Linked DNA regions of Oryzias latipes. The protein of the gene in region 1 purifies or fractionates together with the protein of each later gene. This does not show direct contact. Links are inferred from orthologs where the notes say so. Each region holds a gene or a part of one and is shown on either strand. Other genes may lie near its edges. The genes, in order: eapp and prpf6.

Evidence for each region.
Region 2: the proteins of eapp (region 1) and prpf6 purify together in Homo sapiens (affinity purification with mass spectrometry; 3 studies listed by BioGRID and IntAct, with this or other methods). This does not show direct contact. The link is inferred for Oryzias latipes from reciprocal best matches to the Homo sapiens genes EAPP and PRPF6.

What each region holds. Positions count from the first base shown.
Region 1 is NC_019880.2:24,339,171-24,343,664, reverse strand, and holds the start of eapp (E2F-associated phosphoprotein), read right to left. Parts: upstream 2,950-4,494; 5' UTR 2,820-2,949; coding exon 2,740-2,819; intron 2,427-2,739; coding exon 2,248-2,426; intron 940-2,247; coding exon 841-939; intron 55-840; coding exon 1-54. UniProt on the Homo sapiens protein: May play an important role in the fine-tuning of both major E2F1 activities, the regulation of the cell-cycle and the induction of apoptosis. Promotes S-phase entry, and inhibits p14(ARP) expression.
Region 2 is NC_019865.2:15,457,769-15,460,809, reverse strand, and holds part of prpf6 (pre-mRNA-processing factor 6), read left to right. Parts: intron 1-557; coding exon 558-680; intron 681-815; coding exon 816-937; intron 938-1,081; coding exon 1,082-1,220; intron 1,221-1,317; coding exon 1,318-1,437; intron 1,438-2,831; coding exon 2,832-3,008; intron 3,009-3,041. UniProt on the Homo sapiens protein: Involved in pre-mRNA splicing as component of the U4/U6-U5 tri-snRNP complex, one of the building blocks of the spliceosome.

The DNA.
Region 1 (4,494 bases):
GCTCGTCGTTGCTGGGAATGAGGCGCCGCTTCCGCCTGCGAGCCGAAGAGCTGCCTGGAGACGCAAAGAGGGAGGTCAAAGGTCAAAGACCAGACAGGAGCAAAGACACGGCGTGAAGGTTCGTCTGTGGACAAACGCCTTTCTCTGTCATTTCATGACGTGCATTCAAACCCTGAGAATTATTCTATGTATGTACTAGAACAGAATTTCTGGCATGGTGGTACAACGGTCAACCGCTAACATTAATATTCCTAGTCCAATTCCCACTCCCAATTACGTTCACACCAGACGTGTCACACATTCTTGGACATGCGTTGTCATATGGTGTTCACAGTGGACGGGCGCCAACACGTCCACCACCTCCAGTTGGAGGAGGCTTGGGAGGAAAATTCAAAGCGGTGCAAATCTCCAGGCGTTTTCTTTCACGGCTCGATTCCGGTTTATGAAAGACTTGGTGTGTCATGTAGTTCTGGCAGGGCACAAACTGCACATTTTGAATTTCTCCTTCTTGATCACCTTTCAACCAGTTAGCCCATTTGGTGAATTAAAAAGGATGCTACGCATGCGTCACTACCAAATCTGACTCTCTGATTGGTCAAAGTTCAACTGGTTTAACTTTCAAAGTGCGTTCAGTGGGTGCAGGTTTTGTACAAAAACAGACATCAAGACTCGCGCAGAGATGCACGAACAAAAGAGTTTTGACCGAAGAAGCCGGAAATGCGCATTTACAAGCGTTTACATAGACTTGGACTCGTTGGAAGTAGTGGCGTAGACGCGGATTCCCGTGGGCGGTGTGAACCTAGCATGCCCGTGCTCACGCCGCGTCAGTGTGCGTCTTACCAGCTGTGTCCTCCTCCTCTGAATCAGAGTCAAAGTAAACGCTGTCGTACATCTGAGGGTTGGAGGAACCGACAACCTCGCTGCCTCCTCCAGTTTCTGCTGCAGGAGAGAGGAAACCTTCACATGCAATCCCTCCTGAAACCTTCGTCTGCAGTCAGATTAATACAGAAGCAGACCAACCCCTCCAGAGAACAGCTGATGAGCTGCCTTTGCAGAAAAACATTCAAAATTTACAAACTATTGGTTTGTTTTGGGACTTTTATTTAACACAAACTAATCATTCAATTTCTCCTGGAATTGTGGAGGATTTGAAGGTTCTGGTGGATGAGAGGTTGTGGACTCCGGCTGGTTTGACTTGACTTTCTACTATAGCAAGTACATTGTATTAAAAGAGCATTTTTCTATTTTAAATTGAACAGTATTTCTAAAATATATCTTTTTTCTAATGTTTGTATGATTTATTAATTAAAACAAAGTAAAGAAGCCAAACATGAGTGGTATCAGGTCAAAACTATTGTTTTTGAGTTTTGCATGAAACCTGTCTGGATCTACAAATCCTCCCATGCTGGTCACTGATCTGACTGTTCATTACAGCTCAGACCTTAAAGTCTGCAGCTTCTAAAGAGAAGAACAGCTTTTAAAGCTGCACTGAATGGAGGAATGGAAACATCAGAAGACCTGTGGGGTGTTCCAGGAAGCATGTTTAAACTAGCCTGACTTTAACCCTGAACTCTGGCTGAAATCCGCCTGAAATCGCTTACTCTGGGTATGTCGGTTCCAAAAGACCGGGTATGAGTTGGCGTAATTGCGCTCGACTTGGTAACCCTGGGTTAATGCTCGTGCACAGCAGGTACATAAAGACATTCTCAATAGATCGCCGATTTACGGAGTAACCATGGAAACGCGTGGAGAACAATGGTGGAAAAAGTATTATCTGAGCTTCTTCATCCACTAAATCATCTTCAAATGGACACGCCATGCTGCTTCACCTCTCTGAAAACAAACTAAGCTTCAACTAAACCTGCTCCAGACCAGGTTATGTTCAGAGCATGAGTTACTATGGCAACTTGACCTACCCTGAAGCATACCTCCATTTCTAAAACAGAAAGCTGAGGGTATCAACTTCCTTAGCCTCAAACTTACCGTGGTAACTAGCATAACCTGCTTTCTGGAATACCCCCCAGATCAGGCTCTAGAAGCAGAATGAGATGGTTTTGAAAGGAGAGACGGACAGTTATGCTGCTGCTGCTGCTGCTGATGATGATGCTGGGAGGCGGCTGAGGTTGGGGCTGGTGGCTCCAATGTGGTAAAGTGGTTCAAAACAACAAGCAGCTCTCTTTTGTACAAAAGCTTGGTGTTTCTGTGTTTGGAAGGGCCCTGTGTGTGTCTGTGCGTGTTACGGGTTACCGGCTGCAGGGGCCCAGCTTCCTTCCATGGTCCTGAGGGTGGAGCTCAGCTCTGCCTCCATCTCCTTCTCAAACTCATCCCCGCTGGAGGACTCGCTCTCCCCGGTCAGGTACTCCCGGATCAGCTTCTTCTTCTGGTCCGGCGTCCCGTTCAGCAGCACGTCCAGCTCGTCCTCGGAGCTGAAGACAGGCGTTTCTGTTCAAAACTGGACTTTTGGAAACCTTCATCATGATGACGATCATGAAGCAAAGCAAAACACAGCGCCAAAATGCGACATATTGCGTCTCTTTTATCATGGTCTAAAACCTGATTCAAACTTTAAAATTAAACGTCTAGGAACTGGTTTATCCTGCATATATTCTACCTTTAAAATCAAAAACATCATTAAAAACCAAATCATAAACATGTAATGTTTTTATCCGTTTTTGTTGCTTTCAGCTGTTGTTAGCCTCGTGCTGCTAGCATGAAGCTAACCGTCTGTTTACATCATACCTGCTCGAAGCGCGTTCTTCGTCGCTTGGCTCATCGATTTCATAAGCCTCACTTTCCACCGGTCCGTTAAACTTGCTCATTTTAACAATTTTAAACTTTCTCAGAAGACAAAACAACGGGAAAGATTTATCCCGAAACTGGTCTACACTCTGTCCAGTCTGACGTATGTCTTCTTCTTCGGCATCGGTTCTTCTTCTATGGTGGTAAAAGCACTTGGAAAACTCGTTACCGCCCTCTTGTGGAGAAACATTTTAAAATCATTTTTACTTCAACTATCTAAAAGGAAATTCATTTCAGAACTAAAAAATAAAAGTAGGTGGAATATAAAACAAAAGAAACAAATAAAAATAAATTTATTTATTGCTAAAGCCACAATTTAATAGTAAAATCGGTCAGGTTAAAATGCTGAAGCTAAATTTAAAAGATTAGAAAAGTAAAATTAATAAAAAAGAAGAAATTAATTATTGTTTGGATTTAACAGTAGGTATAACATGAAAATAATTAAGAAAATTTTCAAACATTATATATTTTTATGTATCCCCAAAATATAATGATAACTATAGACTTCAAAAAGCATTAAATAAAAAGTTTTTCAAGATTAGTTTAAGGATAACCCATGCAACTTGAAAAGGACAATAGAGGTGAAAAGATTATTCAGCCATAAGCGCTCATCCTGGCAGCTCAGGAACAAGCCCTGAGTACCAGAGCAATAGAGGCTCAGATCTACCACACCAGACAAGACCCAAGGTGTAGGCTGTGCAAAGAGGCGCCTGAAACAATCCAGCACATAACTGCAGGGTGTAAGATACTGGCAGGGAAAGCATACATGGAGCGCCACAATCAAGTGGCTGGAATAATATACAGGAACATGTGTGCAGAATATGAACTGGAAACCATAAAGTCAAAATGGGAAACACCTCTGAAGTGGTAGAGAATGAGAGGGCAAAGATCCTGTTGGACCTCCAGTGTTATGGCTGTGGCCGTATTCGGTTTTGTTCTTTTTGTTCTGTCTTTTTTGTATCATAGTGGGACTTCTGTGTTTTGTGGGTTTTTGTGTGTCTGTCTGATTACTTTGGTGCTGGAAAGGGTGTGGCTTCCTTTTGGACCCAAGCTGATGGAGGCAGCCTTTACAAGCAGCATGTGGACCCCCAGCCTGCCAGAAGGGAGCTTTGCTGCAACCTGTCTCCACGGAGGTTATTGTTTTGTCACAGGTAAGATTTCAGATCTCAGTCAGGTGGGGTTTTGTTTGTTATTTTGGGTTTGGTTCACCCTGAAGCCTTTTTGCTTCACCTTTTAGTTATTGTCGATCGGTATTTATTAATTTGTAAATAAATGTTATTTTTTATGGAGACACTCTTTTGGTGTTTTTGGTGTTAATTTAAAGTCAGGGCAAAAAGACTTTACTGTTATGTTGTGCTCCTCTAGGTCCCCCTAGATATCAAATGGGGCAAAACATCCAGATCCAGACTGATGCAGTGATCGCTCCTCTAACTTTACCTCGCCTGAGGAAATCTATTTGATCACCTTTCATAATTAAAGTTATGAACATACATCCACCCAGTGACTTTTCCAGCATCGTAGCAGAAATGTGCGACATCAAAGGTTTGACTGAGGAAAATCTGCAGCAAATCACCGTTTCAGGCTCACATGTTGAAGACATCTCTGTGAGTCTGCAAAAAATGGAAGATTTGAAGGCTGCTCAAAAACTCATGAAGAAGACTCTGAAAGCTGCTTTTAAAGACAACGAGACACTTG
Region 2 (3,041 bases), on another chromosome or scaffold:
TGCTAACCTTATACGTTAAACATAGTCATCACAGTTGTGATCGGATGGTGAAAAACCTTTATTTTGGTGAATGTCACTGTGGATTGTGCATCGTTAAAGTAACAGGAATATTTATTGAGGCTAAAGAGCCGCCGGAGATTTCAGACATCCAGAGTTCATGTCATGAATCCTTTGTCAGGGTTGTTCAACACATCCCAGGCTCCTCATCAGTTTCTCTGTTGATGTTTTTAAAAGCTGCCAGTAGAAACCGTTATTTCAGTAGTTTTTGTTCATAAATGTTAATAGTTTTTTGTATTTATTTAATCATGCCTGAATGTATTTACAGTTAGATAAAACATATTCTTTAGTGTTTTTCCATTCATGTTGGCGACGTGACAGTGTTATGCCACATATCATGGCACCTCTACCTCCATTCTTTACTGTTTGAGACTCCCTGTTGCTCAGTTCTAAGTTTGTTTTCAGCTGCATTTCTTTGCTGTATCAAATTTTTATTTCTCACATTATTTTCTGCCACCTTATCAGTCACAGTTGTTCCTCCGTCTGAATGTGTGCTGCAGGATGCTGAAGAGTGTGATAAAGCGGGCAGCGTGGCCACTTGTCAGGCTGTGATAAGGGCAGTCATCGGCATTGGCATTGAAGAGGAGGACCGTAAACACACATGGATGGAGGATGCTGACAGTGTAAGTTGGTTGAATTTGGAGCACAAGACGAGTCGGATCACTGCACAATGCACTGCTCAATTATCTGGCCAATTACATTATGTGATTTTATTTTTTTAATGGAGTAATTAAAGGCCTGTGGTTTTTGTGCTCCAGTGTGTGGCTCATGGAGCTCTGGAGTGTGCCAGAGCCATCTATGCCCATGCCCTTCAAGTGTTCCCCAGTAAGAAAAGTGTCTGGCTCAGAGCTGCCTACTTTGAGAAAAACCACGGGACCAGGTCAGTCTTTTTTTTTTTCAAACATATTTTATCATCCATGAAGTCGTGCTTTATTATCTTATTCTCCTTGCTTCATTTCCATTAATTGCATTCGATTCTATCTCTGTCACTTTTTGTTTTCTAACTTTTCATGGTGTGCCTCAGGGAGTCTTTGGAGGCCCTGCTGCAGAGAGCCGTAGCTCACTGTCCCAAAGCTGAGGTCCTGTGGCTGATGGGTGCCAAGTCCAAGTGGCTGGCTGGTGATGTGCCAGCAGCTCGAAGCATCCTCGCTCTGGCCTTTCAGGTGGCGATGAACTCCTGCAAACTCTGGACACATTATCATAATGATTATAAATTAGCTTTTAATGCAGACCAGTCCTTTGTTATTGTTTTCTTTTTAGGCCAACCCAAACAGTGAAGAGATCTGGCTTGCTGCTGTAAAACTGGAGTCTGAAAACAACGAGTATGAGAGAGCCCGCCGACTGTTGGCCAAGGCTCGCAGCAGTGCACCAACAGCCAGGGTGAGCGCCTGTGTTTGTTTATGCTCATTTCTCTTCCCTTATTAGGACCGTTGTGGTTACAACCATTCTTTTGGGAGGCGCTGGTCCTCCTGGGAATCAAAGTTTAGCTCTAAAGAGGAAAAACGTCATGTCTGCCATTAAAAATGGGGCCAAAATATCAGTAGTTTTGAAGCTGTACCTATAGAATTAGGTTTGAATTCAGACTTTGGAAAAATAAATGGAAGTCCTAATAAGGATATTGGAGTTTTAAAACTTTTTCTCCCAGACTTCTCCTAATACAAGCATTTAAATGGAGACTTCCCTAACTTTCTGATTTGCCTCCCAATATGATTGAACAGTTTATGATTAAATTAGCTCATAGTATAGTTATAATAAACCACATTTTTCACAAGATTGTCTGACAAGAGTCATGCCAGATTTGGCTATAATGTTGTGTTGTTTCCTGTCAGAAACCCGTTGTTCAATCATGATCTAAAAGAAGGTTGTCTCAGTCTTCTTTACTAATTCTGTTGAGGCCAGCAGTGTCAGTTAGTCATCTCCACTCACTTTGACAGGTGCTTTCAGAAAAGCCTGTCACCTGTCACCGTTGATCTTTATCGTGCTCCAATCCCGCCTCATATCGCAATTGTGTGCTGAGAGATGCCAACCTAAGAGAATCTACTCTGCTGTGGGCTGTGCTGATCCTGCTGTCAGACTGTTGAGGAAGCTGTTGATTTTTCAGGCTACAATGATAGAAAGTGGCATTGAATGGCTCACTTCTCAAGGCTGAAAAAAAGATAAATCAGAGTCCAAAATATAAAAAAACAGCCCAGACGTAACATCAACATCTGAAGAGACTCGAAAAATTTCCAGTTGAATATTTTATCCTGTACTTGTGTTGCCAATCACAGAAAAAAAAACATTTGATGGGACACATTTTAGGGTCTGTTGGTTCAGATACGCGTCTGATTATAGATGCTGAAATCCTTATTTTATTCCTTTTTGGGTAAAAGAGTAAAAGGTTTTATTGTTTTTGAATTGTTCATGTTTAATGTACTTGTTAAGTCTAAAATGTATATTAATTTATGTTTAGTGACCTATGTTCTTTATTTGGTAAAGTGAGTTTAAACTCCCGACTGCTTTTATTTTTATTTTTTTATAACAAAGCTCAGAAGTATTTTGCACTAATATAAATTAGCTTAATTGCAGCCATTGTTGTCGTTTTTTTGTGTATAGTGAAGAGTGTAGTAATCTTGTATGTTGGGACTGTAGCAGAAGTGTAAACTATTGTTTTATGGCTTTGTAACAAAGTCCAGACTTGAAATCTCTGACAGCCGGTATAATTCTGAATAAGGTCACATCCAGGCTTGCTGTGTAAAAAACACATTTGAACTTTTTCTTTTTTTAAATTTCAGGTCTTCATGAAATCTGTGAAGCTGGAGTGGGTGTTGGGAAACATAGAAGCTGCTCAGGATCTGTGCACGGAGGCGCTGAAACATTACGAGGACTTCCCCAAGCTTTGGATGATGCGAGGTCAGATTGAGGAGCAGTGTGAGAACATGGACAAGGCTAGAGAGGCGTATAACCAAGGGGTGAGGGGAAAAAAAAACAGACCAAACCTTAGG